5 linked regions of the Oryctolagus cuniculus genome follow. The protein of the gene in region 4 interacts with the protein of the main gene of each other region in a pairwise test. Links are inferred from orthologs where the notes say so. Each region holds a gene or a part of one and is shown on either strand. Other genes may lie near its edges. The genes, in order: ESD, CDC73, CORO1A, FSD2 and PBX3.

Evidence for each region.
Region 1: the proteins of FSD2 (region 4) and ESD interact in binary tests that used the Homo sapiens proteins (3 or more experiments, as listed by UniProt). The two-hybrid records come from large-scale screens. The link is inferred for Oryctolagus cuniculus from reciprocal best matches to the Homo sapiens genes FSD2 and ESD.
Region 2: the proteins of FSD2 (region 4) and CDC73 interact in binary tests that used the Homo sapiens proteins (3 or more experiments, as listed by UniProt). The two-hybrid records come from large-scale screens. The link is inferred for Oryctolagus cuniculus from reciprocal best matches to the Homo sapiens genes FSD2 and CDC73.
Region 3: the proteins of FSD2 (region 4) and CORO1A interact in binary tests that used the Homo sapiens proteins (3 or more experiments, as listed by UniProt). The two-hybrid records come from large-scale screens. The link is inferred for Oryctolagus cuniculus from reciprocal best matches to the Homo sapiens genes FSD2 and CORO1A.
Region 5: the proteins of FSD2 (region 4) and PBX3 interact in a two-hybrid assay, tested with the Homo sapiens proteins (3 studies listed by BioGRID and IntAct). The two-hybrid records come from large-scale screens. The link is inferred for Oryctolagus cuniculus from reciprocal best matches to the Homo sapiens genes FSD2 and PBX3.

The regions. Positions count from the first base shown.
Region 1 is NC_091440.1:65,776,199-65,782,714, forward strand, and holds the start of ESD (S-formylglutathione hydrolase), read right to left. Parts: upstream 3,503-6,516; 5' UTR 3,340-3,502; intron 1-3,339.
Region 2 is NC_091444.1:9,956,838-9,962,455, forward strand, and holds part of CDC73 (parafibromin), read left to right. Parts: intron 1-2,670; coding exon 2,671-2,771; intron 2,772-3,192; coding exon 3,193-3,467; 3' UTR 3,468-5,618.
Region 3 is NC_091450.1:7,506,295-7,512,524, reverse strand, and holds the start of CORO1A (coronin-1A), read right to left. Parts: upstream 3,938-6,230; 5' UTR 3,779-3,937; intron 2,458-3,778; exon of another isoform or gene 2,426-2,457; 5' UTR 2,425-2,425; coding exon 2,227-2,424; intron 1,253-2,226; coding exon 1,130-1,252; intron 1,041-1,129; coding exon 911-1,040; intron 830-910; coding exon 645-829; intron 540-644; coding exon 420-539; intron 229-419; coding exon 124-228; intron 48-123; coding exon 1-47. UniProt on the Homo sapiens protein: May be a crucial component of the cytoskeleton of highly motile cells, functioning both in the invagination of large pieces of plasma membrane, as well as in forming protrusions of the plasma membrane involved in cell locomotion.
Region 4 is NC_091443.1:101,652,834-101,658,572, forward strand, and holds part of FSD2 (fibronectin type III and SPRY domain-containing protein 2), read right to left. Parts: intron 5,502-5,739; coding exon 5,271-5,501; intron 3,562-5,270; coding exon 3,539-3,561; intron 1,978-3,538; coding exon 1,856-1,977; intron 1-1,855.
Region 5 is NC_091432.1:229,672,500-229,678,238, forward strand, and holds part of PBX3 (pre-B-cell leukemia transcription factor 3), read left to right. Parts: intron 1-3,455; coding exon 3,456-3,646; intron 3,647-5,739. UniProt on the Homo sapiens protein: Transcriptional activator that binds the sequence 5'-ATCAATCAA-3'.

The sequences.
Region 1 (6,516 bases), on a different chromosome or scaffold from region 4:
AAAAGGCGGGAGAGACAAGGCTGGAAAACCTCTGGGCTGACTGACTAGAAAGGACATGCTAAGAACACAGGCTAGGCTCATGAAGACGGCTGAGATGAATGATACAAAGTGAAAAGAGATGTACATGCATATGTAGAAACTGACATATGTATTTTTTTTTTGATTGGCATGTCTTATATAGGTTCTACTAAAGGTAAACAGGTGTATTTAGTTTCTAACATTGTGTGGCAGCAACAGGGTGACAGAGTTGGGTAAACAGCAAAGAACAAAACAATCTCTGCACCTGCCACACCAAAGACCCCAAAGACTTTTTCAATACCAGGAAGGAATTACATAATTTTTCTAGAAAGTTAACACTAATATTCTTTGGGAAAGAAAACATGTTCTTAGAACATGATACACGTGAATGGTCAAAAACCATTAAAGCCAATCTGGTTAAAGATGACTTACTTTCCTTTTTTTTTTTTTTTATTTACAAAGCATGCATTCCTAAAAGGCCAAATGGTCCCATCTAACTGTTCTTCTCTTTAATTTCAGAAGTGATCAGAAATCTGAGTTATTTCTATTTTTACCTATTCTCTCCTTCTCCAGTCTCCAGTTTCCTATATATATTTCTGCTTGTATTTTTTGTCCTCATTTCCTCAGATGCCTTGGATTTTGATCCATGTCTTCAATGCCAGTGTGTCCCCTCCACTAGCTCTTAACAACCTGGACAAAACCAGTGGATGGCAACGCAGCACCTGACGTTGCAACCACTGCCTCTGTTCAAATCCTCCTCCGTCAAACTCTGGGGCTCCCCCTCCCCATCTTCCTTTCCTCTTCCCCTAACCCCCTCACCTACATTCGACTGCATTTTCTGGGTGGAAGAATCTAAATTTGCACCTTCCTATCTAATCTTCCTCCACATTAGTGCCGGAAATGGAACTTCTTGCTGGAGCTTTCTGGCAAGGTATGTGAAGGTATGTTCACTCGCGAGCAAAATTCACCCAATCTAAAATCAAGCCTTTACATCTCCCGCCGTTAAACGTTTCTTTTGTTTGCCTCTATTTGCCGGACCCATGCTCTTCTTGTCAAATCTACATTGCAAGAATCCTGAAGTGATCTTTTGAATTCCCAGTGCCATCATCCTAATTATGCATAAGAAATTGAATTAAAACTTTGATTCCTCGTCTTTCTAGCAGTATGTCCCACTATAACCACTTCTGCATGAAAACACAGGGTTCTAATCCATATAAACCACTACTATCCCTATGAAGAGATCTTGGGGCCTAACTGAACTGAGCCTATGGTGCTTTGAATGTAGATGCCAGGCCCCATCAACTCTTCATCTCCCAAGGTCTCCTCAGCCTCCCTCCATTAACTTAGTATACTTGCTCTGTCTTGGCTTAGCAAATCAACCACTTACTAAAATCTCGCTGAATTGAGGGAGTGGTGCAGCAGCACCCACAAAGTTGAATCCCTGGACTCAACAGTTCTTTAGTTTCTCTAACAGTTAACACCTTCATGTTCTGCCTGGTCTCAAGGGTTTCTTTTCCAGTAACTTCAGGCCTGGAGCCCTCAGTAGACTGAAGCCTACTCTGACATAATCAAAATTCTCTAAAGGACGAAATTATTGCTGACTAACTGAAGGAGGGTCACACGCATGTCAAAGCAACTAGGAACCTGGGCACTAGCAAAGTATGGGCCTCTCAAGCCCAACTTGAACCTGTAAGACCCTGTCCGTGTTACCCCTGGCTGGCGGGGGCCAGGGACTGAAGCCGTAGCTGCCTGACTCCTTGCTCTGTACTCTACAACAAACATTTCCTTTCCTCCACTAGCCTGATGTCACTGATTGGCTTTCTGCACGTTAGAGGAGAGGACCCAACTTGGGGGGTTCTATAGCAATTCCTCCAACCAGTCTGAGGGCTGTTCTGTGGTGTAACATGGCCTCCACAGAACTATTATTCATTTTTATTTTTAAAATTGTGAAAATAACATTTACTGTCTTAACCATTTGTAATTACCTATTTCAGTAGTGCTAAGTATATCACTTAGTCATTTTTAAGAAACAGGATTAGCTAGCCCAAATTAATCCGCAAATAATAAATGTTTGACCACACCCTGGCTTTGACAGGTTTAGCGAGCTAATCTGACTTGGCCATCAGACCAGTAGTTAAGAACCAATAAGTCATGCAAATTGAAGACAATGCAGTCAATTATATAATTTTCTTGATGTTTGGTGCCTTTATACTTTCACAAAGTCCAATCTATGAAGGAGTGCTGACAAAAAGGCAAGGACAAATGAAGTCCCAAATATCTTTGTCACATTTTACCTAATTTACCTATTGCTAAGCAGTGTCTTCCATAAAAGTGCACAAGGCCTGATCACTGACCAACATCTAATCCACTGTGGGGAAGGACGGCATCTGTCAACTCTGAATACTTTCACCTGGCTCTAAGATCTGAATTTTGGGCCCGACCCTATTTTTCTGGTCTCCCCTTACTTCCCTCGAATCCAATGACATATCATTCCAGGATGGCCTGGATGTTTCTATTGGGTGGCTGTCCCTGAGGCCGTTGTATAACGGTCTCTGCACAGGTTCTCCAACCAGATCTTCGAGGTCAAATTCCGGTTTTACCACTTAACTGCCACACGAATTTGGGCAAGCTATTTAATCCAAGGCCTCATTTCCCCGTCTGCAAAATGGGTATATAATCTATCGATTTGCTAGGGCTGCTCCAGGAATGAAAGTTCATTCATGCTTGCTATAGGCAGCACATACACGTTAGTTTTCCTGCAGCCAGCAATGCCATCTCCACGAGGATCCCAAAAGAAACGCCCCCAAGCCCGTCCCGACACACCTCTGCGGGCACTTTACACCCCTGAGACTTCGCGGACCGCGAAGATGGGGCATCCCGGTCTGCGGTCCCCGGGGTGCGCCGCTGACCGCGCCCCCGGGTCAAGGTCGCCCCCCCCACCCCCCCCGAGAGCAGGGCCCAGGGCTGCAGGCCAGCCAGCGGCGCCACCAATGCTCCGAGGGGCTGTGCGCGCCCCGGCACGGGCCCAGGAGGCGGAGAGGGGCTGGCCAAGTGGCTGGCACGAGAACTACGCCAGCCTCCCGTGCGGCGCAGAAGCACGCCCGAGCGCCCCGGGTGACTGGCGGGCTCAGCGCAGCAAATGGGATTAGGAAGCGAGGCGCGCGCCCCGGGCCGGGATCGCTGTCCCCACGTCCAGCCCGGGGACCTTCAGGGCTGCAGGCCTTGGCGTCCGTCCCCAGAGGGCCCTACCGCGTCACTGTTGCAACCCCAGGCTCAGGCGGGCCAAGGACGTCCAGGTGTTTCGCCAGGATCGGGTCTTACCTGTAGCGGAAGCCCCGGTGCAGAAGCAATGGAGCCGTAGGGAAGGGCTGGGAGTCAATATGGCCACGGGGGACCAGGCCGGCCCCGCCCACACTAGGCCCCACCCCTCCCCGGGCCCGCCCCCTCTCGTCCGAACGCTGCGGCCGGGTCCTCCTTCGGCCCCGCCTCCTTCTCCAGGCGCTTCCCGGCGTCCTCCGCGTGGGCGGCCGCCCCTCCCCCTGCCCGTCTCGTTCTCCCTCCTCCCCGCGTGGTTGCGTCAGCAGCGAGGCGGGCGTTTGAAGCTGGAAGGGCTCGCCTGCTGCGGGGTCAGCTAGCGGGGTGCGCCCGCAGGAGGCCGAGGCTTTAATAAAGCTGAGGTCTGGCTTCGCTTAACTCGTGGAAAGGGTTTACGGTTATTTAGAAACCAGGGCCCCCAACTTGGTATCTGCGTGAAACAGGAGGCAATTGGAATCGCCGGTGGCCGGGCAGGTGGTGGGAACCCTCTCCACGTCCTGGTTTTAATTCTTCCCTCAGTAAAAGCTGACCTGAGAGTTGCTGGTTATTGCAAATCGTCCCTTCATTCTTGGCTTCTCGGATTTAACCAAACTTATCCCAAAGAGCTAAATGTGTCCACCAGTGTTTGTAGGAACAAGTGGTTGGAATGCCAAGTTGTAAACAGGCACTTTGTTCTGACTTGCTGGGCAGACAACTTGTGTGTCTAGGGCTGCTGATGGGAAGGGCTGCACGCTTGGGTTGGTCTCTCAAGAGTTGTTGAAGGCGAGCTCTCCGTTTTCATGTTCTATAGGACCTTGCGGGTTTTGGAGCTGATTTTGCTGAGTAAGGGAACCTGTCGGCTAGCATGAATGAGCTGCCACCAGGAGATGATGTGTTGAATCTGCTGTGTGCCGCACGTCCTTGCCATAAATACCTTTTGAACCGAACTAACCTGTGGCCTGCATCTGTGGGCCTGTGGATACACTGAGACTCAGGCTGAAAACAATGTATATGCAAAACCACGTTTTTGTGAAAGCGTTGACGTAAAAGGTTTTTAGTTCCTTTTTTGCTGATTTAAAATATAAATCACTGAAGAGTGGATTTTCCTCAAATTGAGTTTCACAGCTAAAACGGATCGCAGTTTGGATGTTACCATTTCCTTAGAACTGATGAATATTTGAGCAAAGTTACAGATGTTCATTTAATAAATTGATGCCTTGTGAGGTACAAACTAGCCTAAGATCTGTAAGTGTGAAGTCCTTTTACTAAAGGGTTAGTGTATTAATACAGTGTGATAGTAATCAGAACTGAAATTTCTTTTACCCAGCATAAATAAAAGGATAACATCCACAACATTTATTTCTTTAAATTAGTAGGAGTATATTTTTTATTTGCATAGAAGGGCAAACTAAGCTGAAATCAGAAATTAAGGATGACATTTCAGATAATGAAACATAATAAAAAGTGAGTAAATCTTAACTACCAAGTAAGTGATCCAAAATTAAATTTATGGCTGAGAAGAGTTAGGGACTATCAGTTTGCACTATAATGAGTCGGATGTGATCTTAGGTAGGCAACAAAATGATACAATGAAAGTGAAAGAACCCAAAACCAGGTGAAGCCTCTGGAAAGGAAATTGTCTTAGGCTCAGCTGCTGTAACAAAAATCCTAGATATCGGGTGGCTTAACGGAAATCTATTCTTCACGTTAATTTATTTGTCCCAATTCTGAAGGTTGTAAGTCCAGTATGAGCTGTGGGCCTTTCTGTTACTGGTGAGAGCTCTCTTCCTGTTAGGAGAAGTGATGCATTCTTGTTCAACCCTCACTTGACAGAGTGAAGGCAAGCTCTGGTCTCTTCGTCTTTCAAGGAAAAGCACTAGTGCCATCGATAAGGACTCCAGTCTCATTCCTCCTGAAGTAATTACCTCTCCCAAAGGGCTCACCTCCACATTCTGTCACATTATAGATTTAGGTATCAACATGTGAGTTTCGGGAGACACAAACCTTCAGTCTAGAGCAGAGATGATTCTCAGCAAGTCTAGAAACGGTGTTGTACATGGAGAATGACATCATGTACTGAATGTTAGGGATGCTGCTTGAGAAGTGGTTTTACAGCTTTTCTATAGATAAATCAAGGTTTCTCAGTGTTGGCGTTGGAGCTAAATCATGCTTGGTTGTGGGAGGCCATCTTGCACTTTGTAAGCTGCTTAATAATATCTTTGCCCTCTACTGGCCAGACACTACTGGCACCTCCAACATGCTTGCATACCCAAAATGTCTCTAGAAATTGACAAATGTCCACTGGTGCAGCGGTGAGGAAAGGGTGGCAAAATCAGCCCTAGTTGAGAACCATTGGTCTTAATAGGTATTTTCGAAAGAGCCCTTTATTTTGATGGTATTCTCACCTAGAGACATTTCAGAAAAGAATAGCCTCACTTGTTATTTAATAAATCAGAATGTAGCTTAATAATGCCTTAGTCTCAGGTGAATCTAGTTGAAATGATAAATTTCCTAAGAGACTTATTTTTTCTGAATGTGATGTTTACTTAATAAAATTGAGTTTCTGAATGTGTACTCCTCTGAGGACCAGACTTTGGACCTTGGCAACTCAACCAAGTATTGCAGCCTTGTAGCCCTATGCCAGTGTTCTTTCTTAACTTTATAGCAACTACAGAGCAAACTAGAATAGACAGTACAGACAGACCTTAACAGTAGTTGTTTCCATCTCCTATTCACTTTGCAAAGATCCAAATTTCATGCATTGATTTCCATTTTATTTTTCTGGTGTTTTTTTTCTAACTCCTTTAAATTCTAATTCCTACAGTTCTTTTTACAGTACATTCCTAGTATCTGTTGCTCCTTCTGTGTCTCCAAAAGGGCCAAAGGTTAAAATGTAACTGACACAGAACAAGAACTTTGTATTAGCCATTGTTATTCTTTCTGTTAACAGTACTAAAATTATAAATTTCTTCCTGTCCAAAGAGACTCTTTCCTAGTCTCTGCTCTACGACAGTATACTTTCAGTTTTGACTCTTACATATTTGTTGGTTTTCAGTTTCTTGGTTTATTTACAAAGTCTCATTGGACTAAAATGGTTGTTAGCCATTTGTTAAGCTTTGGCACACATGGGAACGGACAAAGGCCAGTTGACAACTTGTTTTGGTGAAAGTTAATTAGTTAAATACTCTCCCCAACATGGTAGTC
Region 2 (5,618 bases), on a different chromosome or scaffold from region 4:
TCTTCCAGTCCAGCTCTCTGCTGTGGCCCGGGAGGGCAGTGGAGGATGGCCCAGGTCCTTGGGCCCTGAACCTACATGGGAGACCAGGAGGAAGCACCTGGCTCCTGGCTTCGGATCGGCGGTGCGCCGGCGGTAGTGGCCACTGGGGTGGTGAACCAATGGAAAAAGGAAGACCTTTCTCTCTCTATCTGTCTCTCTCTCTCTCTCACTGTCTAACTCTGCCTGTCAAAAAACAAAAAAAATTAATGGCAAGAAACATTATTCTGTTCCCCTGCCATTGTGAGACCAAAGTAGGAGCTAGATAACCTCTATCCAGCAAATTCTTTTTAGTTTGCTAAACTTTCACATTTTACCTTCAAAGACTTAAGCAGACTAAGAATTTTAAACTGATAGTCTTTTATGATAACTTCGATAGTTTCTATAGATCTTCATTTGAATAAAAGATAACCCTGGTTTAATATAGAGTATTTGTCTCTTGCCGTGGTTATCAAAATGTGGCCTGCAAGGCTTTAGACATTCCCAACACCCTTTCAGAGAATTTCCAGGTCAGAATGGTTGTCATGGTAACACTGAGATGGCTGTTGTTATTAATCCCACAGCAGGAACAGGAGCCTATCCAGTACCCAGGACCAGGATTCATTCTCCTGTCTTCCTGCCTTCTCTCCCTTTCCCTCCTTTCTCCCTTTCTCACATGTGGACTATTCTCTAGTGTGCCCATTTACTTCTGTGTCCTCATCTGCTAAATGGAGCTGTATAATAGTCATCTCAATTATTATTATTAATATAAAGAGAGCTGATTTCATGCACTCCCATACGTACAGTTCCAAGAAGACAACCACACTTCTCTCACTCCCCTGTTCACCACCAGCCCCTCACCCTCTCCATCCCTCCTCTCTCTTCATCAGTTTTTGCAAAGACATAATTTTAATCCACTCTATATTCAGAGGCTTAATTTGCCACTAATCACAATATTCAACAAATAAAAGAAGGAAGACAACTGTTCCGCAGGAGTATAAACAAGAGCTTAGAACAACAATCATATTCCAGAATGTCCATTTCATCCCTGTACATTCTTTTGTATTCAGTATTAACTGCCACTTATCAGAGAAAAAATGGGATATTGGTAGTTTTGAGACAGGCTTATTTCACTAAGCATAGTGGTTTCCATTTACATCCATTTCTTTGTAAAAGAATTTCATTAATTTTTATGGCTGAGTAGTATTTCATGGTGTTGTGTGTGTGTGTACATATACCACATTTTCTTTATCTAGATATTAGTTGATGGACATCTGGGTTGATTCCATATCTTATCTATTGTCAGTTGAACTGCAGCAAACATGGGGGCACAAATAATTCACATGCTGATTTCATTTCACTTGAGTAAATTCCCAGGAATGGGGTGGCTAGATCTTACATGGTAGATATATATTCAGATCTCTGAGGAATCTCCATACTGTCTTCAATAATGGTTGTACCAGTTTACATTCCCACTAACAGTGGATTAGGGTACCTTTTTACCTCACATCCTTGCCATCATTTATTTTTTTTTTAAATTTATTTTATTTATTTTAATTTTTTGACAGGCAGAGTGGACAGTGAGAGAGAGAAACAGAGAGAAAGGTCTTCCTTTTGCCATTGGTTCACCCTCCAATGGCCGCTGCAGCCGGTGCACCGCGCTGATCCGAAGACAGGAGCCAGGTACTTCTCCTGGTCTCCCATGGGGTGCAGGGCCCAAGCACTTGGGCCATCCTCCACTGCACTCCCGGGCCACAGCAGAGGGCTGGCCTGGAAGAGGGGCAACCGGGACAGAATCCGGTGCCCCGACTGGGACTAGAACCCGGTGTGCCGGTGCCGCAAGGCGGAGGATTAGCCTAGTGAGCCGTGGCGCCGGCTATTGTTTTTTTGATCTTTGGATGATAGCTATTGTAACTGGATTGAGGTGAAACCTCATTGCAGTTTTCTGAGCCTTTTTTTCTTTCTTGTTTTTTTTTTTTTTTTCATGTGTCTGTTGGCCATTTGTATTTCATCGTTTGAAAAATGCCTGATCATGTCCTTTATCCATTTCTTAAATGGATTGTTTTGTTGTTGAGTTTCTTGAGTTCTTTGAATGAAGATGGTTTGTTAATATATGTAATATAGAATGCCTTCAATAGTAAATACTCACTGTGTGTTACTAATATAAACCATATTGTTAATGCTTTGTTCCCTCCTCTTTAGTTGTAGTCTTGAACTGTGTATTGCACTATTTACAGATTCTCAGTTTAATGGAATGTTGTACAAAATCATGAAATATGAGGGCATAGAAAAATAAAATATTTAAGATGTGTTTGAATTTAAAATTTTTCTCCTGTGAAACCATCTTTTTCAGTTAATGGGTGAGCAGCTATTCTCATTGGAGGGAAAGCAAAAGGACTAAATCAGTCACACAGAATTATTGTATATACAGTTATATTAAAAAGCTTGGGTACAAAAACAAATGTATGGGAAGTACAGCAGTCATGAATGCGCTCTAAACGCTGATATATTGGAAAGTTAAGGTAGTGTATTTACTGTATTCACCTCCTAAGAGGGTTGGTAGGAGACCCTTTTCTTGGGGATTTCCAGTAACTGAAGCTTAGGACTGAGACGCTCTTCCCACCACCCTCTCTTCATCCCCTTATCTCTTTGCAGGGACCGGGTCGTAGCAGTTTTTGTACAGGGTCCTGCTTGGCAGTTCAAAGGTTGGCCATGGCTTTTGCCTGATGGATCACCGGTTGATATATTCGCTAAAAGTAAGATTTTATTTCTTCTAATGTTTATCTACACTAAGTGTTGTTACTTTAAAAGAATGAGCCATCTTTGATTGTATTTTAAAGTATTTTAAAGTATCACTCTTATGCAACTTACTTAATGTTAACTTTTTAGCTCTGTATTTGTTTGAAAACCTTTGAAATTGTACAATATTTTCTGTGTAGTTTTATCTAAAAGCAATTATTGCCTATACAATAGCACTATTTTTTGGTCACTAAAAAATCATTAATACTGCTGCATATCCACATGTTTTCATTACAGTGGACTGCCAGTTTTTAACTGGATTGACTTTGGCTGAGTAGATGATGCATCTGTATGTTATAGTGCCATATGTATTTACCAGCTATCCCATCATCTCTCTCTCTCTCTTTTTTTTTTTTTTTTTTTTTTTTTTGGTTAAAGATTTATTTATTTATTTGACAGTCAGAGTTACACAGAGAGAGACCATCCACTTGTTCACTCCCCAATTGGCTGCAATGGCTGGAGCTGCGCCGATCAGAAAGCAGGAGCCAGCAGCTTCTTCTGGGTCTCCCACACAGGTTCAGGGGCCCAAGGACTTGCGCCATCTTCTACTGTTTTCCCAGGCCATAGCAGAGAGCTGCTGCTATGGAAGTGGAGCATCTGGGTCTCGAACCGGCACCCATATTTGTTGCTGGCACTTCAGGCCAGGGCGTTAACCTGCTGCGCCACAGTGCTGGCTCCTATCCCATCATCTTAATAAATGATTGTGTATCATTGCATTTCTTATTTCATTCAGATCTCAGTAAACGGTCCTATTTGAAATACACTGCACTTCATTTTAATTGCGCTCTAAGCGGTTTTATTTTCTTGGTAGCACTTAATTATTGCTTGACCTCACCTAGCTTTTACATTCTTATAGTGTAAGTTCCACTTTGAAAAGATGCCTTTTTTGCCTCACTCATCATTTTGGCTTCAGCACAGAGGACTTACAGGCACATACCTGTTTAAAGGATTATTTCATGTGGCTCATATTTTTATTAAATATGGTGGCCTTCAAAAAAGTTCTGAAGGGGCAGAACACATTGTAGTATCTGGATTCAGTTCCTGGCTCTGTCCTTTTTTTTTTTTTTTTTTTTTTTGACAGGTAGAGTTAGACAGTGAGAGAGACAGAGAGAAAGGTCTTCCTTCTGTTGGTTCACCCCCCAAATGGCTGCTGCAGCCAGCATGCTGCGCCAATCCAAAGCCAGGAGCCAGGTGCTTCCTCCTGGTCTCCCATGCAGGTGCAGGGCCCAAGCACTTGGGCCATCCTCCACTGCCCTCCTGGGCCACAGCAGAGAGCTGGACTGGAAGAGGAGCAACCAGGACAGAACCGACGCCCCATCTGGGAGTAGAACCCCAGGGTGCTGGCGCCACAGGCAGAGGATTAGCCAAGTGAGCCGCGGCACCGGCCCTGGCTCTGTCTTTTGACTTTAGCTTCCTGCTAATGCAGACACTGAGAGGCAGTGGTAAATGGTTAGGTAGTTGCTTTTCTGCCACCTTCATGGGAGACTTTTCAGCTCCTGGCATTGGAATGGCATAACCAAGAACACTCTGAGCAGGTGGCGGGTGAACCGGCTGATGGGATTGCACATGCAGGTATGCATGTTTCTCTCTCTCTTTCTCTCTCTCTCTCTCTCTCGTGTGTGTGTGTGTGTGTGTGTGTACCTCCAATAATTTTTGAAAGAAGTTTATGGAAATCCATATTATGAAAAAAGTATGCATGGATTTTAAGATTTTTTTCACCAAAGTAAACTCATTCTAACTTATTACAACATGTCTGAACAAGATCTAGCTTAAGACACTGAGGAGGATAAAACATCAGTTTGAAACGAGCTCCTGTTAGAGCAACGTGAATTATTTTAAAATGGAAGCAAAAACAAGCATCAAATTGATGATGCCTACGTGGAAGAATGGGGAAGCCTCTGCTTATAAAAGTTTATGGAGACAAAGCCCAAAGAAATCAGCAGTTTACAAATGGATTACTTGATTTAAGAGACAGGGTGGTGTAGGAGATAAAGCTCAAAGCTGCAGACCATCCACACTGATTTGTGAAGAAAAAGTTTGATCTTCTTTGTGTCCTAATTCAAGAATACCAGTGATTAACAACAGCAACAATTGCCAACAGCACAAACATCTCTGCTGGTTCTGCTGACACCACTCTGACTGAAAAATTAAAGTGGAGCAAACTTTTCCGCTTGATGGATGTCAAAACTGTTGCATGCTTGTCAACTGCAGACAAGAGCAGAGCTCTCAGTGGAAAATTTTAAACAAATAGGACTGAGATCCTGAAGCATTTCTTGGAAGAAATATGACTTTACCATCATAATTCTGAAGACAGCACAGTCAGAGTACTGTCTACCAAGAGCTGGAAGTGGGGCCATCACAGCAAAAGCAAACCAGTCAAGAACCAAGGGCATGGCAACAGGTTTTTGGGATATGCATTGCTTTTTGCTTATTGACTTTCTGGAGGGTCAAAGAATAATAACATCTACTTACTGGGAGAGTGCTTTGAGAAAGTTAGCAAAAGGTTTGGCAGAAAAATGCCTGGAAAAGCTCCACCAGGGAGATCTTTTCTGCTAGCACAGTATTCTTGCTTGTTCCTCACCCTAAACAATGGGCAGTTTTGCCAGAGTTTTGATGGGAGATCTTTATTTATTTATTTGAAAGGTGGAGTTAGAAGGAGAGATGAGAGAGATCTTCATCCGCTGGTTTACTCCCCAGATGGCTGCAAGGACCAGGGCTGGACCAGGCCAAAGCTAGGAGCCAGGAACTTCATCTGGGTCTCCCAAGCACTTGAGCCCTTCTCCATTGCTTTCTCAGACACATTA
Region 3 (6,230 bases), on a different chromosome or scaffold from region 4:
AACGGGGCCTCAGACGTGATCTCGAAGTAGCGGATAGAGCTGTCACCCTGCGGGGGGGCGGGGCAGGGTCAGCACCAGCTCCTCCTACCCGCCGCCCTGTCCCCGCCCCTGGCAGGGGGCCACCTTGCCACAGAGGTAGACGATGTTGGTGTCGGGGTCAAAGAAGGGCAGCAGGACGCCGCTGCTGGTGTCCAGTTCCTGCAGGGACAGCGGCTCCTCCAGGTGCTTCTGCAGATGGGGAGGTGTGGGTGAATGGTCACACGCACGCACACGCACACACACAGCCGCCGCCGCCGGCCCAGCTGCCAGAAACCCCCACCTGAGGACCCTGACCATCCAGCCACGGCACGCGGCAGGGCAGGGACCTAACTTCCAGCCTCAGGCCCCGGGGCCCCTCTGCTCCCCAGCTCAGCACGCACCGTGTCCCACAGCGCCACCTGCCGCTCGCTCATGCGGCTGAAGCCTGTGGTCAGGATCTTGCCGTCAGACACGAACACGGCGTGCACGGGCCGGGTGCCTTCGTGGGGCCGGTCCTTCTCCTAGGGGCAAGGGAGGAGGTTGGGGCTGCAGCCGGGAGCTCGGTGCACGGCGGGAAGGAGGGGTAAAGGCCTCGGGGGCGGGGGCCGGCCTTCCCAGCCGCTCACCACCACGACAGTGCCTTTGCGGGGCTCGATGATGCGCAGGCGCTTGTCGCGGCACGAGGTGCAGATGAGGGCGCCGTCGCGGCTCCAGTCGACGCTGTAGACGGTGTCCGGGTGCACATCCGAGCCCAGCGTCAGCACGGCCGCCCCCGTGCCCACATCCCACACCAGGATCACGTTGTCACAACCTGCGTGATCCCTGAGTGTCAGACGCCTGAGGCCCCGCCCTCAGGCACGCGGGGACGCTCCCCCGCCCCCCCCCCACGCACCTGCGCTGAGCAGCACGTTCTGAGCCGTGGGGTGCCAGGCCACGATGCCCACACGCTTGGTGTGGCCCTCCAGGGTGACCACGGGCTCCCGCAGGGGCAGCGTCAGGCCCCCATCAGGGATCTCCCACACCTGCCGAGAAGGGGCCGGTGAGTCCTCGGGGCTCCGAATATCGGATCCCACCCTGCAGCCCCCTCGGGCGCGTACCCAGCGGCGCTCACCATGACGGTGCAGTCCTCAGAGCCGCTGGCGATGACGTTGTCATTATGTGGGCACCAGGCGATGTCCAGCACAGGGGCAGTGTGGCCGCAGACCGTGGGCGCGTTCTTGTCCACACGTCCAGTCTACAGGGCGGGCGGGGCCTTGGACAGGTGCCTTTGCCCTGGAAGCCCCGCCCCGCCCCTCCACCCCTCAGAGAAGCCCAGCAGGGGTCTGTGGTGCCTGCCCTCTCCCCCCCACAGTGGGCCCAGCTCGTTGCCCCCTTCCCAGGGGCTCCTGGGCAAACTCCAGGAAGGCTGGACACACGCGGCACAGCCCGGGACAGCCTGGCCCAGCTCTGCCCATCTCCCTGTCTTGTCTGTGCCCTGAGGGTCCCCACCCCCACCCCAGCTTCCCTGTGGGAGGCTTGCATGAACACTCCCAGCCGGGGCCCTGAACCCCAGTAGGGCTGGGGCTTGCCGGGGAAGGGGTGGCAATTTGGGGGGGGGGGGGGCTGCAGGGGTGGGAACTGGCAAAGGGAAAGAGGCCCCAGGCTGGAGCAGAGGTTGGGAAATGGCCTCTTCCGGGGCCTGCTGCCTCAGCAGGGCTTCCTGTGGGGGGAGCCGTGCGGGGCGCGGGCCCAGCTCACCCCGACAACCACTTCCTCTCCTCTTGGCTGCCATCGGCCCTTTTAAGGTAACAATTTAGGGCCCCCCTCCCTTCCTGTCTTGCCCTCCAAAGAGCACAGGACTGTGCCGGGGGGTGGGGGGTGGCAGTCAACACAACAAGGCCACGGGCCGCTGGCAACAGCTGAGCTGGGGGTAGAGCTGGCTCAGCCCTGAGAACACTGCTGGGCCCCCCCGGCCCCCAGCCCACCCTCCCTGAGCTTCCAAGGGGAGAAAGAGCCCCCCAGGCTGAGTGAGGCCTGGGAGCCCCGGCGCTGGGCCCGCAGCCCTCCCTGCACTGTCCTGTCCCCGCCCCAGGAGCTCCTCTGGCCCAGCTCAGCTCCACAGGGGGCACCACCACAGCCTGGGAAGGCTTGGTGACAGTCACCTCGTCCAACCCACAGAGGCGCCCCGAGGTAGGGGAGCCACGGTCCCAGGCCCCCCAGGGGGCTCACCTTGCAGAGGGGCAGCACCAGGAAGGCCCCGCCCCCGCTGGCCTCACAGATCAGGGCCAGGAACTTGGGGTTGACGGCACAGAAGCCACTGTCCCAGGTGGTCTGGGAGACACGCACGTCCTCATAGCACTGGTCGGCCTTGGCCGGCTGTCCAAACACGTGGCGGAACTTGCTGGAGCGGACCACCTGCCGGCTCATTCTGCGGGCACAGGGGCCGAGAGCCTGTCTCCCCTGGGGATACCCAGTCTGGATTTTAGGGTCCCAGCATCACCCCCCATGTGGGCCTTCCCCCGCCCCTCCTCGCTCCTGCCTGACCAGCGAGCCACCTGCTGCTCCCACCACAGCCACTCAAACCACCCTCTCCATCCTGCACCCGCAGCCTCAGCAGGGCTGGGGGTGGCAGCCCCCAGGGCTCCCCCAGTTTGCTGACTGACGGAAAGCTGTGGGGCCTTCCTCCGGAATGGCTCCGGTGTGGGGGCATTGGCCCAGGCCATGGGGTGGGGGTGAGGGGGTCTCTCTCACTGCAGCATCAGAGCCCACGGCCCTCACGCCCACACGCCTGTGGGGCAGGGGCAGGGCTGGCCTGCCACCACCCAGCTGGACACTCGGGAAGTGGAGCGTGGGCCTGCCCAGGAGGGAACGCGGCAGCATGATGGCTTCCCCCGTAGGTCTCTGGGCGCCAGAATCAGGCGATGGCTTGGGTCCCAGTATCTCCTCCCCACACCTCCTCTTCCCGCCTCCGCTCAGAAAAAAAGCAGGTGCCCATGAGTGCCATATGCACCCCCATCGGAACTGCACACAGGGAGGGAGAGGCGGACGCCACTTCCCTGAGGTCCAGCGAGGGGGGCAGGGGGGCAAGCGAAGCCCTGGGCAGATCCTGGTGCCCAGGGCTCCCTCGTGTGCCACCTTGCAAGGGCACGTGCCCACCTCCCTAGCCATGCCCATACTAGCCTGCTTGGGGTCTGGCCTCTTCCTGCTTCCGGCTCGAACCCCCCCTGCCCCCCAGGCACCCCCAAAGAAGCCTGTGGACCTGCTTGGCCAGAAAGGAGGTGAGGCGCTTGTGTGATGGGGACCCAGCCTGTAGGACAGGTGGGCAGCCGGGGTCTGGGGAGAGGGAGCCCCACATCAGAGGTGGGGGACAGGAAACCATCGACCCACCCTGCCTCCTCCCCCACCGCAGGTACCAGGCCCGGAAACCACGGAAAGGGGAACTTGGTCTTGTCTTGTTTTGCTCGCAACCCCTTCCTGTCGTCAGGCTCAGGGCAGCTGCTCGGCTCACCCCACCCTGCCCCCCACCCCCACCCGCAGAGACTCGGGCGCCGCATCTGCCCGGACCCCCGCTCCTGCTGCGCCCCCCCCCCACCTCCATGCTGGCCGCGGAGCTCCCTCACCCGCACCTGCCCAGAGCGCCCAGGGCCCCGTCCCCCCGCAGGGCCAGGCCGCCTGACAGCCCGCGGCGCCCACGCTCTCGCCTGCCCCACAGGTGGCCCGGGGCAGTGACTCTGGGTCCCCGCGGCCAGCCCGGCCCGCTCCCCCCGGAGCCCGGCCTTACCTGCTGCGAGAGGTGAGCGGACCCCCGGACGGAGGAGGGAGAGGAAGAAGAGGAGGAGGAGGAGGAAGGAGCCGCAGGAGCCGAGGCTGGCGGCGGAGGATGCTCTTGTCAGACAATGAATGAGAAGCAGCCGTGCGCCGCCTCCTCGGGTGGCAGCGCCCCTTTGGGCGGAGCTCGCGGAGGGGCCGGCCCTGCCCTGCTCCGCGGCCGCCGCGCGCTCCGCCCTGCCTGCGGGCACCCGGCCGGGCGCCGGCGGCTGCCGGGTCGCCGGGACCGAACCCGCACGGCGCAGGTGCGCACACGCCCCGCGCCGCCTTCCCCGCTCCGGCCCACCCCGGCCCTGGCCCCGACGAGGGCCGCCCTTCGAGAGCCGCGCGCGCCCCGCAGCCCGGCTGTGGCCCCGACGGGACGGAGCGGAGCGCGGACAGCCTGGCGCGGCCCCGGGCCCTGGGTCCTTGGCGCAGCTCCTATACGGACGAACGGGCTGGGGCGGGGGGTCTCGTGTCTTCCCGCGGAGCATCCCTGCCCCCTCACCCCCGCTCCGCAGAAACACTGGGCGTGGCGGGAGCTACCCGGGCAGGGGGGTGGGGGATTCTGCTGGAAGGGGTCATCCGCGGGCCCCTGGAGCGCTGGCAGCCGGCTAGAAGCAGAGGCAGCAGCTCCAGGCCAAACTCCCGCGGGGAGAGTTCATTCCTGTCATTGGATTTAGTGGGGCTTCCTGGCGGCGGCAACCCAGAGAGGGTTCTACTCCAGAGACTCCAGGCCAGCGCACCTGCTGAGTGACCTGGGCAGGTCCCTTGACCTCTCTGTTTCTCCCTCCCTAACAGGAGCCCCTGCCTCATAGGGTTATGGGGATGGTTACCAAAAATGACCCGAGCAAAGCTTTAAGCATGACTTCTGAAGACAAGTGTCAGCTTTATGGTGACCTCCAAAGGCTAAGCCAGCGCCCAGGCCCGGGGCCTCATAAGGCCAGAGCCCGCGGAGTGAGGAAGTTCCGGAGCTGCGAGGGGCTGGCGGAAGTCCCACCTCCCCCGCTGACTGGCTGTGTGATCTTGGGCAAGAGGCCAGCCCTCTCTGAATCTCGGTTTCCTCATCTGTCAATGGGGGATAAATAAGATTTGTTCCTGCTCCCTGCAAAAAGTTGCGAGGTTCCATGGAGGCAGTGGATGTGGATGGGTTCAACAGATGATGCCATTGTTTAAAAAAGGGGGGGTGTGGGGAGGCTGGTGCTGCGGTGTAGTGGGTGAAGCCGCTGTCGGCAGTACAGACATCCCACATGGGCGCCGGTTCGAGTCCCAGCTGCTCCACTTCCAATCCAGCTCTCTGCTATGGCCTGGGAAAGCAGAAGAAGATGGCCCAAGTGCTTGGGCCCCTGCACCCACGTGGGAGACCTGGAAAAAGCTCCTGGCTCCTGGCTTTGGATTGCCAGAGCTCCAGCCACTGTGGCCATTTGGGGAGTGAACTAGTGGATAAGACCTTTCTCTCCATCTCTCCCTCTCTCTATCTGTAACTATGCCTTTCAAGTAAGTAAGTAAGTAAATAAATAAATCTTAAGAAATAAATAAGAAAGGCGGAGTTAGAGAGGAAGTGGAGCAGCCAGGACTTGAACCGGTGCACATATGAGATGCCGGCATTGCAGGGGGAGAGGGGCTTTACCCATTACGCCAAAGCACTGACCCCATAAATAAATCTTTAAAAAAAAAAAAAAGATGTTGGATTGGCCTGCTACTGAGCCACAGTGGGCCAGAAAGGGCCAGGATGGAGCAGGGTCAGTGAGGTTCAGTCTCCACCTGAGGGAACAGGAATGATGGCTGGGGGAGAGGTGTTAGGCACCAGGGTTAAGATACCACTTGGGACACCTGCATCCCCTATCAGGGGGCCTGGGCCTGGGTTTGAGTCCTGGCCCTGCCCCTGACCCCAGCTTCCTGCTCATGCACACCTTGGGAGGAGTGATGGCTCAACTACTGGAGTCCTGGCCACCACGTGGGAGATCCGGGTGGAGTTCCCAGCCCCTGGCTCTTGTGGGCATTTGGGGAATGAGCCAGCAGATGGGAACACTGGGAATACACTCTTTCTCTCCCTGCCTCTCAAAGAATAGAATAGAATAGAATAGCTAAGGGCCAGCGCTGTGGCGTAGTGAGTAGAGCCACCACCTGCAGTGCCGGCATCCCATATGGACACTGGTTCGAGTCCTGGCTGCTCCACTTCTGATCCAGCTCTCTGCTGTGGCCTGGGAAAGCAGTGGAAGATGGCCCAAGTCCTTGGGTCCCTGCACCCATGTGGGAGACCCGGAAAAGGCTCCTGGCTCCTGGCTTCAGTTTGGCGCAGCTCTGGCAGTTGCAGCCAATTGGAAAGTGAACCAATGGGTGGAAGACCTCTCTCTCTCTCTCTCTCTCTCTCTCTCTCTCTCTCTCTCTCTCCCCCTCTGCCCCTCTGCCTCTTCTTCTCTCTC
Region 4 (5,739 bases):
ATTTGGTCTGAAAGTTTTGTTCCTCATAGTGTCTTTGTGTGGCTTTCGTATCACAGTATAATGCTGGCCTCATGAAATAAATTTGGGAATGTCCTTTTCTCTTCAATTTTTGGGGAGCGTTTGATTCCTTTGGGTTCTGGTAGAACTCGTGAGTGAAGTCACCTGGCCCTCGGCTTTTCTTCGGTGAGAATTTTTATTACTGCTCCAATCTCTTTAATCATTAGTGTCTGCTCGTATTTTCAATTTCTTTATGAATCCATCTACGCAGATTGTATGTTCCTCGGAGTTTATCCATTGCTTCTGTGTTATCCAGTTTGTTCACTGTGTTGCCTCAGGAGCCTTTGCATTTCTGTGACACCAGTTGTAATATCTCCTCCTCTTTCATTTCTACTTTTATCAGAGTCTCCTTTCTTTTCTTAGTCTAGCTAAAGGTTTGTCTGTTTTGTTTATCTTTTTGAAGAACCAACTCTTTTTTGTCTTTTTTGTCTATTATTTTCAAGTCTCAATTTAATTTCTTATCTAGGCTTTACCATTTCCTTCCTTCTGATAAATTTAGGCTCATGAATCATGCATAAATCAACTGATCTTGAGAAAGGAGTCGAGAACATTCAATGGGAAAGGATATTCTCTGTTGACACATGGGATTAGGGAACTGGATCTCTATATGAAAAGCATGAAATCTGACCCGATCTTAAACCATACACAGAAATGAACTACACTGTATAGATTTAAATGTCAGACTTTCAACTATAAAAAAATTCTTGAAATTGGTCTTGGAAAGATTTCTTGGATGTGACATCAAATCACAGGCAAAAAGCAAAAAGCAAAAAAAAAAAAAAAAAAAAAAAGCAAAGGAAGCCATCGATAGAACAAAGAGAAAAACTATAAAGCTAAAGAAAATATCTTCAAACCTTTTCACTGAAAAGAAACTGATATGCAAAGTGTATCAGAATCTCCTACAACTTAGCAGCAAAAACAAAATCCACTCCCCAAAACACCACCGCCAACCAAAACATCCAAACAACCCAACTAAAAATGAGCAAAGAGCTAGAATAGCCATTTCTCCAGAGAGGACACACAAATGGCCAGTAAGCATATGAAACAGTGCTCAACCTCACAAATCATCAAGGAAAGGCAGCTCAAAAGCAGAGTGGCATATCACCCCACACCTACTCGGATAGCTATTATCAAAAAGCAAAAGTAACAAGTATTGATGAAGATGCAGAGAACTGCAACCCTCGTATTCTGTTGGCGGGAATGTGGAATGATATAGCCAACATGGAAAACAAAGAGATACCTGTACACCCACGTCCACTGTAGCATTTTTCACAGTAGCCACAGTATGGAGATAACCTAAGTGTCTGTCAGTAGAAGAGTGGATAAAGGGAATGTGATCTATCTATCGTGAAAAGTACTATCCAGCCTTAAAAAAGAAAGAAGTCCCACCATTTATGAAAACGGATGAGGCTGGAGGGTATAATGCTGACTGCAATAAGCCAATCACAGAAGAATAAATACCGCCTGATTCCACTTAGAAGAAGTGCACAGAGGCAGAGAGCCGAGCGGTCACGTGGGGAGGGGAGGAGCTGGGGAGCTGGTCTCAGTGGTTGCGGATTCCGTTAGGTGAGAAGACCGGGACCTGGAGGTGCGCCCCACAAGGTCGGCCCCACAGCTAGCAAGACAGAGTGTGCACTTTAAGATGGAGAGAGAGAGAGAGCGAGAGAGAGAGAGAGAGAGAGAGAGAGCGCGAGAGCGAGCGCGTGGTGCACGTTCCTACCACAAAAATGCAAAAGCACAAGGCGGAAGCCCCGGGGAATCCGCGCTGGCGTGCAGTGGGCGTGGGTGAGAGGCCCACCTGGAATGCTGTTAATGGAGCCCATCAGCTCTTCCACGTCCGAGAAGTCCAAGGTCTGCTCTTCAAAGTCGGGCTGTGCAGAGATTTCCACATCTGTTTTTGTTTTCAGGAACTTCCCGAGTCTGTTGGTATAAGCACACGTGTTGGGGTTTGTGCCTGACCCAGCAGTTAAGACACTGCGTCCCATATTGGGGTGCCTGGTTCTGCTCCCAATCCCAGCTCCCTGCTAATGCAGACCTGGGAGGCAGCAGATGATGGCTCAAGTAGTTGGGCCCCTGCCATCCACGTGGGAGACCTGGATTGAGTTTTCAAGTCCCTCACTCAGGCCTCTGCCCAGTCCCAGCCATTGTAGGTATGTGAGGAGTGAGCCAGCAGATAAGAGTGCCCTCTTTTTTTTTTTTTTTTTAAGATTTTATTTATTTATCTGAGATGCAGAGTTAGAGAGGGAGATACAAAAAGGTCTTCCATCCGCCGGTTCACTTCCCAAGTGGCTGCAATGGCAAGAGCTGGGCTGATCCAAAATCAGGAGCCAAGAGCTTCCTCCAGGTCTCCCACGTGGGTTCAGGGGTACATGGGCCATCTTCCACTGCTTTCCCAGCCCATTAGGAGAGAGCTGGATCAGAAGAGAAGCAGCTGGGACAGGAACTGGCACCCATATGGGATGCCAGCGCCACAGGCGGAGGCTTAGCCTACTGTGCCGCAGTGTAGGCCCCAAGTGTGCCCTCTTAAGCACACACGAACAAGAATGGAGGCCTAACCTCCTTAGGGTGATTCTCGTCCTGGGTCTCTCACTGGGGACATGCTGAACTTCCTTCCCTGTAGTGGGACATGCTCTGGCTGCCTTCTGCTAGCTGCTTCAGTGACTGACCGAGGGGCTCACCAGCGGGATGGGTGGGATTAGCCTGTGCCTTTACGGGTGAGGAGAAAGGGGCAGGTCCCATCAGAAGGTGGCGTGGGGCACCTGCCAGTGAGATCCGGAACCACACCTCCTGGAAGATCTCCCACGAGCTAGCCTGGAGGCCCCCTTCCCACGCCATGCTGGGCCCTGTGGTGTACAGAGGATTCAGACTTCCTAGGGGGCTTCCTGCTCCCACGGCCGAGTGCCCTCGAGCTGCTGACTGTGGTCCTTTGCGTCCTCCTGCACCTGCCTCCTGGCAGTCGCAGGGTTTGTAAATGGCAGAGGCAGAATCTGAAACCAGGTCTGGCTTTGCCAAAACCCCTGCACGTAACCCTTACTTGATTAAGCTCCTGTGCTCCTGTTGCTGGATGTAGACACCGTCTATCTGGTTATCACAAACCCATCCTTGTTTGTCTGTTAGGAAGGAGGGTCCTAGGTCAGCTGGGCTTCCCCAGGCTCTCGGGGGTAGCGGGAATCGAGCCTCTGAGCGCCTGACTCTGAAATGCGCACCTTCTGCAGCTGCTAGGCCGGGGCCCGGCAAAGCCCACCCTTGGCTAACGAGGGGGTCTACCCTCAGGCCTCATCGGGCACAGTCCCCTCCAGCCCTGAACACTGAGATTCAGTACTGGGGGTCCTTGTGTCCCCTCGCCGACACTCCGAAGCCAGTGCTATTTTACTCTTAGGATCAGAGACAGAAGCCGAATCGGAAGCCTTTGACCAAGAGGAGCTGGGTCGATTTGGCTCTCTAGAGCCGAAGGAAGCAGCAGCCAGAATGCACGGCTTACCTGTCGGCCATGGCCACTGCGTCCTAGGGAGGAAACGGAGAAAAGATTACACTCGCTTTGGAAAAAGATTGTTTTTTCAAAGTAGGAAATCATATCAATGTATTTTTAAACTTGGAAGTTAGGAAAAGGGAACAGTAATCATTAGTTGCTTTCTCCATGCCTCTGCCTTTTCTTCCATGCCGCTGGTTTTTTCCCATCAGCACTCGGGGCAGAGAACATCCAGTCCATGGACCACAGAAAGCTGTGAAATCACTGGGTCTGGCCCTGCCAAGGCAAGCACAGGCCGGACTGGAAATGCAATCGACCTACAGCGGGCTCGGTTTTAAGTTGAGAATTTTGTCTGGCCCGCAGATGCGGCTGTCAATACGCAAATGGATCTTGGCAGGAAAGAGGTTCCCCACGTCTGCAAGCCCTGTCTGTGTTACAAGCTGGGCCCCTGATTACAAAGATTGCAAGCAGCCCCCAGAACGGAAAAGCCCTCAGTGGCTTAATGGGTGCCCTGGTGGTGGTCGTTTCTCGGTGAGAACTTCTCCCTGAGTGTCCCTTTCTCTGCATTCTGGGGTCTGTCCTCATGACCCAGTGGCTCCACAGGGCCTCTGGTTGAAGCCGTCTGCATGTGGGGGCCTCTCCTGGTGCCAGGTTGTCCTCAAGTGTTAGCCCTGGGGCCCTTGCCCCCACGTGCCGGGAAGGAGGCACGGGGGCTTCATGGGGCACCTGTGGGCCTGGGTAAGGTGGGGTCCACGCTTGGCAGCCAGGAAGCTTCTGGAGGCTGAAGACCCCTCCCCTATACGGGATACCACGTCTCCCCCATACTCCTGTGGGGCCTTGTGACGAGAGGGCCCAGCTCTGAGACTGAAACTCCCCAGCCCAGCTGGAGGGGCTTGAGTCCAGTTTAATTTGATTTTTTTTTTACAGTTTATTTATTCATTTGAAAGGCAGAGTGAGTGAGAGAGCGAGAGCGAGAGGGAGAGAGAGGATAGAAGGAAGGGAGGGGGGAGAGGGGGAGAAAGAGAGAGAGAGAGAGAGAATGAGCTTCCATATACCAGTTTTGTTTTTTCCCCACATGCCCAAACTAGCTAGGGCTGAGCCAGACTGAAGCCAGGAGCCAGGAACTCAGTCCAGGTCTCCGACATGGATGCCAGGGACCCAAGTGCTTGAGCCATCACCTGCTGCCTTCTAGGGTTCACATCAGTAAGAAGCTGGACCAGAAGCAGAGGCGCCTAGGCTGGAACCAACCACTCTGATAAGGGATGTGGGTGCTCCAAGTGGCATTTTAACCACTGCGCCCAATGCCTGTCCAGAGAAATGGAATTCGGGTTGACATGCCTGTGTGAGTTGATGAAGTAAGATTGATCATGGCTACCCTGGTAACCAGCACGTCTCAGGTGACTTTATTGTAGCCTGGACAGTTTGCTCCCCAGAGCTCCAAGAAACCTTCAGCGGTGCCCAGAAAACCCTCAAGGCACTGTTTCTGCTCAGCCCCGGGATGAGGGCGCAGGTCTCCGGGTAATAGAAGAACAAACGCTGATGCTACCTCAACAATGCGGACAGACGCGCAGTCGGCTGTGTCTGACTTGCTGCAAAGCTACGCAGAGAGATGGGGCAGCGATCCCTCCGACATGAGCAGCGTCCACTCTGACACCTGTCGGTGGAGAGCGGACGGCCCCCCTACCCCAGCCATAACTGCTTTCCACTCACGGTTTCATTTCTCTCCCTCCCTTTCGTCACTGACCTTTAGGAAATCCACCTTCTCCTCGTGGCACATCTCCTCGATGGTTTCCATCAGTTCCTTACAGGTGTCAAGGTTCTCCCCGCAGCTGACCAGCTGCTCGTACAAGGCTTCCAGCTTCTCCTTCTTCTTCTGCCCCAGAGCTTGTATTTTTTCTTCATATTTTTGCGCGAGTGTTTCCAAGATCTCGTTGTAGTGTGACTCAAAGTTTTGTTCTTGTCTTCCGAAATTCTCCTGCAAGACAGTTGGCCTGGGTCACCCCTTCCTCTGGGGACCTGAGATGGATCTGCCCAGGGCTGTTTCAGTCCCCTGGCTTTGTCTTACCAGTTCTCACAGGATGGGGGTGAGCGGGCACTGGGGGAGCCAGGACACAGCGGTCTCCAGCTGGAACACCATGGATAATCTTGACAGAAAGCACGCCTTTCTGTCTCCCGGCCTGTTTTAGCCATCTCCTGTCACCATGACAACCGAC
Region 5 (5,739 bases), on a different chromosome or scaffold from region 4:
CAAAGAGTTTCTCTTAGCACATTGCTCCACAAGATGCCTTCAGCTGTGCTGTCCAGCGGGATAGCTACCAGCCGTGTATAGCTAGTGAGCACTTAAGGTCTGGCTGTAAGTACTCAGAGCTGGGCTATTAATGTAAAATGCATACTGGAGTTCAAGGAGTAAAACATAACAGAATGTAAAATACCAAATTAAAGATTTTTAAAAAATTAATTACATATTTTAAAAGTTAATATTTTTCAACACTGATTAAATAAAATACATTGTTAAAAAATTTATTTCACCAGATTCTTTAGATTCTTATTATTTTTAAAAATTTCCTAAGTGGCTCTCGATAAATTTCTGCTATATAGCACTGATCTAAAGATATGAAGTTTTATGACCAAATTTTTTTGGGGGAAGTTGGATATACTACTTCTCCTTGAAAATTTATGATGTACTTTTACATAGAAATATAAAGGAATGCTGCAAAAAATTCATTTAGAATTTAGGTTAACCTAGCAAGTCCCCAAACATACTGTATTTTTTTTAAAAAGATTTATTTTATTTATTTGAAAAGCAGAGTTAGAAACAGGGAGAGATAGAGAGATCTTCCCTCCACTGCTTCACTCCCCAAATGACCAAAGCCAGGGCCCAGGATCTTCATCCAGGTCTCCCATGTGTGTGGCAGGGTCCAAGGACTTGGGCCATCTTGTGCTGCTTTCTCAGGCACATTAGCAGGTAGCTGCATTGGAAGTAGAACAGCCAGTACTCGAACTGGATGCCAGCACTACAGGCGGCAGCTGAACCTGTTACACCATAGCACTGGCCCCATGCTGTATTTTTGGAACATCTGTTAATATTCTGTGGATCCAGGGGCCAGTGCCGTGGTGCAGGTTAAGCTGTCTCTTGCAGAGCCAGCAGCCTATATCAGAATGCTAATTCAGGGCCGGGACTCTGCTTCCATTCAGCTCCATGCTCATGTGCTGGTGAGGCAGTGAAAGATGGCCCAAGTGCTTGGGCCCCTGCACCCACTTGGGAGACCAGGATGGAGTTCTTGGGCCCTGGCTTCAGCCTGGCCAGAGTTGGCTGTTGTAACCATTTAGAGAGTGAACCAGGGGTAGAAGATCTCTCTGTCTGCCTTTCAAATAGATAATAAATAACTCTTTTTTTGAGATTTTTTTATTTATTTGAGAAGTAGAGTTACAGAGAGAGAGGGAGAGACAGAGAGAAAGGTCTTACTGGTTCACTCTCCAAATGGCTGCAACAACCAGAGCTGGACCAATCTAAAGCCAGGAGCCAGGAGCTTCTTCCAGGTCTCCCACATGGGTGCAGGGGCCCAAGAACTTGGGCCATCTTCTACTGCTCTCCCAGGCTGTAGCAGAGAGTTGGATTGGAAGAGGAACAGCTGGCACATGAAGCAGCAGCGATTCGGGATGCCGGCACCACAGGTAGAGATTCAGCCTACTATACCACAGTGCCAGTCCCAATAAATAAATTCAAAAATGTGTATTTTATGGATCTAGCTATAGAACTATAAAATTTGCTAATCCTAGTTTGAGAAAAGTTATTAATCAATTTTCTTCATTTTACTGATGAGAAAACTGAAGACTAGAGTGTGTCTAGTTATATAATTTGGAAATTCTGTAAATATCTCCTTAGAGAAATTCAAGATAAAAAATGTATACATGTATTTCTTGACAGAGTGACCACTTATTTCCAGCTTGGCATAAACAGTTGAAATTGATAATACAGTAGGGGAAGATCTTAAATTTATTTCAAAAATTTTTGGTTTTCTTAAAGACAGAAGAACTAGTTTTAGTCTGTTTAATATTGTACTGTATCATAACCTAAGACAATAATTATTAACATTTTTTTAGTTATAAACTGTTTGAGAATCTGAAAGCAAAGAAAACTCCACAGATTCTCCTCCAGGAAATATACAGGTGCACACAGCTTGCATAGGATTTCAAGGATTGCAGATGGTCTAAGCCTATCCCTGGACCTGTGGATATTAACCACACTTACTCTAGCACTGACAGTGTAAATCTGCAGATGGTTATTGTATGCCCTAAGCAGAGGAATACCAGAAGTATATACCATAAGGTCATTACTCAGAAGGGACTTAGAATTTCTGAAGACTTTAAAAGACTAACAGTAAGCAAGACTAACTTTACCTCACCTTAGAAATATTTATAGAAAAGCTTAGAATATGTGAAACATTCAATATACTTGGTGGTTAGTTCTCTAATGAGCAGTTAGGAAAACCATAATGTGCTTTATGTGAACCATGCCAGGTTATCTATATGGGAGTGGACATTATTATAGCTTCAAAATATGTCTTGCATTGATCAATGATTGTTCTGTCTGCTCACCCTGCCAGGCCATGAGTTCAGTAGGATACAGACTTTTTCATCCTGCCTTTTTAACGAAAATGCCAGAAAATGTTCTTTTTCTTCAGATGTATATACTGATACTTTATTTCCTAAGGCAGTATGGGATTTCAATGGAGGCCCAGTTAATGTGGTTTTGTAGACTGAAAGACTATAGGTGAACTTAAATGGACAGTATCTGAGATTGTTAACTAGAATATTTGAGACCCAGATCTGATCCCTGTTTTCCTGCAGTCCCTCCCCTGAAGAGCTGAGCTGTTTACAGGGTGACGTGAGTCTGGGCCTATACCACAGCTACCCAGTGGTGTGCGTACAAGGCCCTTTATGTGCTAATCCAAACCCAAGTCCCCAGTTCTCTACATGCTCTTTTCCTATTAGCCATTCTCCCATCTTGCCACATACTCTTTGTAGAGTTTTTCTTATGCCTAGAATTTCTTTTGACTTCCATCTTCGTCTCCCTTTTAAAAGTCCTACCCATTCTTCAAAGCCCAGATACCGCTTTCACCGTGAAGCCTCCATATGAGACTACCCTCTCCTTGGAAATTACAAAGCACTTCTTAATAACTTCCTGGTAGACTTTGCACTGCTTGCTTTGTGAGAGTTAGTTTTTTATGTATTTTATCTCACTAAAGGCCAGGTCTACACCTTGCTCATCTCTGTATCCCTTACAACACTTGTAAGAGTTTGAACTACTTAGTCCTAAGTAAACATTTGTTGAAAAATGTAAAACCACAGAGAAAATAGAAGATGTTTAGTACATAGTTAACATATATTATTACTTAGACATAGGAGTTGGTAGAGAGCATCCTCTAATGGGAAAACTTTATTTTGGAACTGGGACAAAGGTGGTAGGAAGGGCACTTGAATGCTGTGTCTCCCTTGCATGTCTGACCATTCATAGTTTCAGAATTGGTGCCCCACCTACCTCACCACCATTTCACAAGTGTCCTAGCTTTCATTTTACCCTGCCCTGCATAATGCCATTGGTGATTGTAAATGAAGTGGAAAGTCAGATGAGTTCATGTCTGAGTGTGATGATATAAAATATCAGATTGCTAAGGAATGATTTTTTTTTCCCCATTACAGGCATGTAATGAATTCACTACACATGTGATGAACCTTCTACGAGAACAGAGTAGAACACGTCCCATTTCCCCAAAAGAGATTGAAAGAATGGTGGGCATCATCCATCGAAAATTTAGTTCTATTCAGATGCAGCTCAAACAAAGCACTTGTGAAGCCGTTATGATTTTAAGATCAAGGTTCCTTGATGCCAGGTATGTGAGGTCATAAATAAATCTATTGCATGGCTCCACCCCGCTCCCTTTCCCCCTCCTTCACTCCTTTTATATAATTTTCTATGAGATCAGCCGGTTGCTCATCAGTTCTTGTTTAATTCGGCTATCAGAGCTCTTCTCTGCAGTGGACAGGTAAAACTCTGCTGTGAAGTCCCTTGATGTCTGGGGGTGGCTGTGCAGTGAGCTGCCAGTTTCGGATTCAGGAGACGGATAGAGTGAGCACTACTGCTTTCGGGCTAGGTAGCCTTTCAATTCTGATGCTAGACAGGATTTTTAAGGATAATTTTCTGCATATAATTCTGTTTTAACAATGGTATGTATGTCTAAGAATTCCTTAAAGTTATGTTGCTTGTACATATTATGAGAAAATACTTAGAGGTATTGATAGTCCTAAGCAGGAATTGGTATTTCACCTGATAGAAGTTACCATAAAATCCCAGACACTATCTTTCTAATCAAGTGAGAAAGTCTCTCAGTTTCTCCTGTAAGGATGAAATTTCCCTTTTATTTGAAGCTTTCACCAAGTTTCACAGCAGTTAGGTAATACGTTACCTGTAGTAGTAAATTGTACGTGGTGACCTAATGAGTGACAGAATAGTCCAGGTCCTCATACATGCTACCTCCGTGGGGTGCCTCTTGGATGTTGTTGAGGCTTATAATCAATCTTCAGTTTCAGAAGGGAGTTTCTATTTTGTTTTTCTTTCTACCCCTTGGAATTTGACAGAGGTGATAATTATCATCTACATCTCACTATATTAAAGAAAATAAGGTCTTTTTTTTTTTTTTTTTTTTTGAAAACAAAGTATGTCGAACAGTCTTCATTCCAGAGCTCCTCTGTAGAGCCAAGTAAAATGTTTTATGGTGGGGCCAGTGCTGTGGCTAGAAGGTTAAGCCTCTGGCTACAGTGCTGGCGTCCTATTTGGGCACCAGTTCAAGTCCCAGCTGCTCCACTTCTGATCCAGCTCCCTGCTAATGTGTGTGGGAAAGCAGGGGAGAATGGTCCAAGGTCTTGGGCCCTTGTACCTATGGTGAGAGACCCGAAAGAAGCTTCTGGCTCCTGCCTTTGGACTGGCCTGGCTCCAGCTGTTTTGGCCATCTGGGATGTGAACCAACAGATGAGCAATATGTGTCTCTCTCTCTCTCTCTCTCCTTCTTTCTCTGAATCTCTGCCTTTCAAATAAATGAATAAATCTTAAGAAATATATAAATAAGAAAAATGTCTTATGGGGCAACATTTTGGTGTAGTTATCACCATGCCACTTGGGAAGCCCACTCCCCACGTCAGAGTGGCCGGGTTCAACTCCTAGCCTTGTTTGCGATTCCAGCTTCCTGCTGATGCACACACTGGAGGCAGTAGTGGTTCAAGTACTCGGGTCCCTGCAATCTGTGGAAGACCCACATTGAATTCTGGGCTCCTGGCTTCAGCCTGATGAGGCTCCATCTGTGTGTGGGAATTTTGGAGAGTGAGCCACTGGACAGGAGAGCTTCTCTGTCATGTTGCCACCTGATTATACTGCCATTTTTCTAATTAAGCAGAACTCTGTGTTGCTTTTGGTTCCTTCCCCTCCCACACTGAATCAGTGACTAGAACTCCCCCAGTGCTTCATTCGCAATGTGTTCATGTCGGCCCCTTTCTTTCATCTTTTGTTGTGCTACTTATGCTTTTCCTTTTGTTCCTTGACTAGCATGGTTCCCCCAGTCCTCTGCTTCCAGCCTTACTCCCCTCTCGCCCACCTTCCACTCATCTTCTCTGCTTCTCTGCATCACTAGGATGCCCTCATTGCTTTGCTTAAAATCCACAGTAGCTTGTCAGGGCTGGGTAACGCACACACATTCTCCTTAACTTGGCATTTAAGGCTTTGTTTGACCTGTCCCTCTCTGAATTACATTTCTGTTGTAAAGATTTTACTTGATTTTTTTCTATTTAAAAAACACCAACCTCACTTCAGAAAATTTGGAAAATACGTAGAAGGTTGAGGGATAAAAGGCAACCATGTTTTTATTTCCTAAAGAAAAAATAATCACAATAAATGTTTTAATATATTTCCTTCTCATTTTTTTGCTTGGTTTCT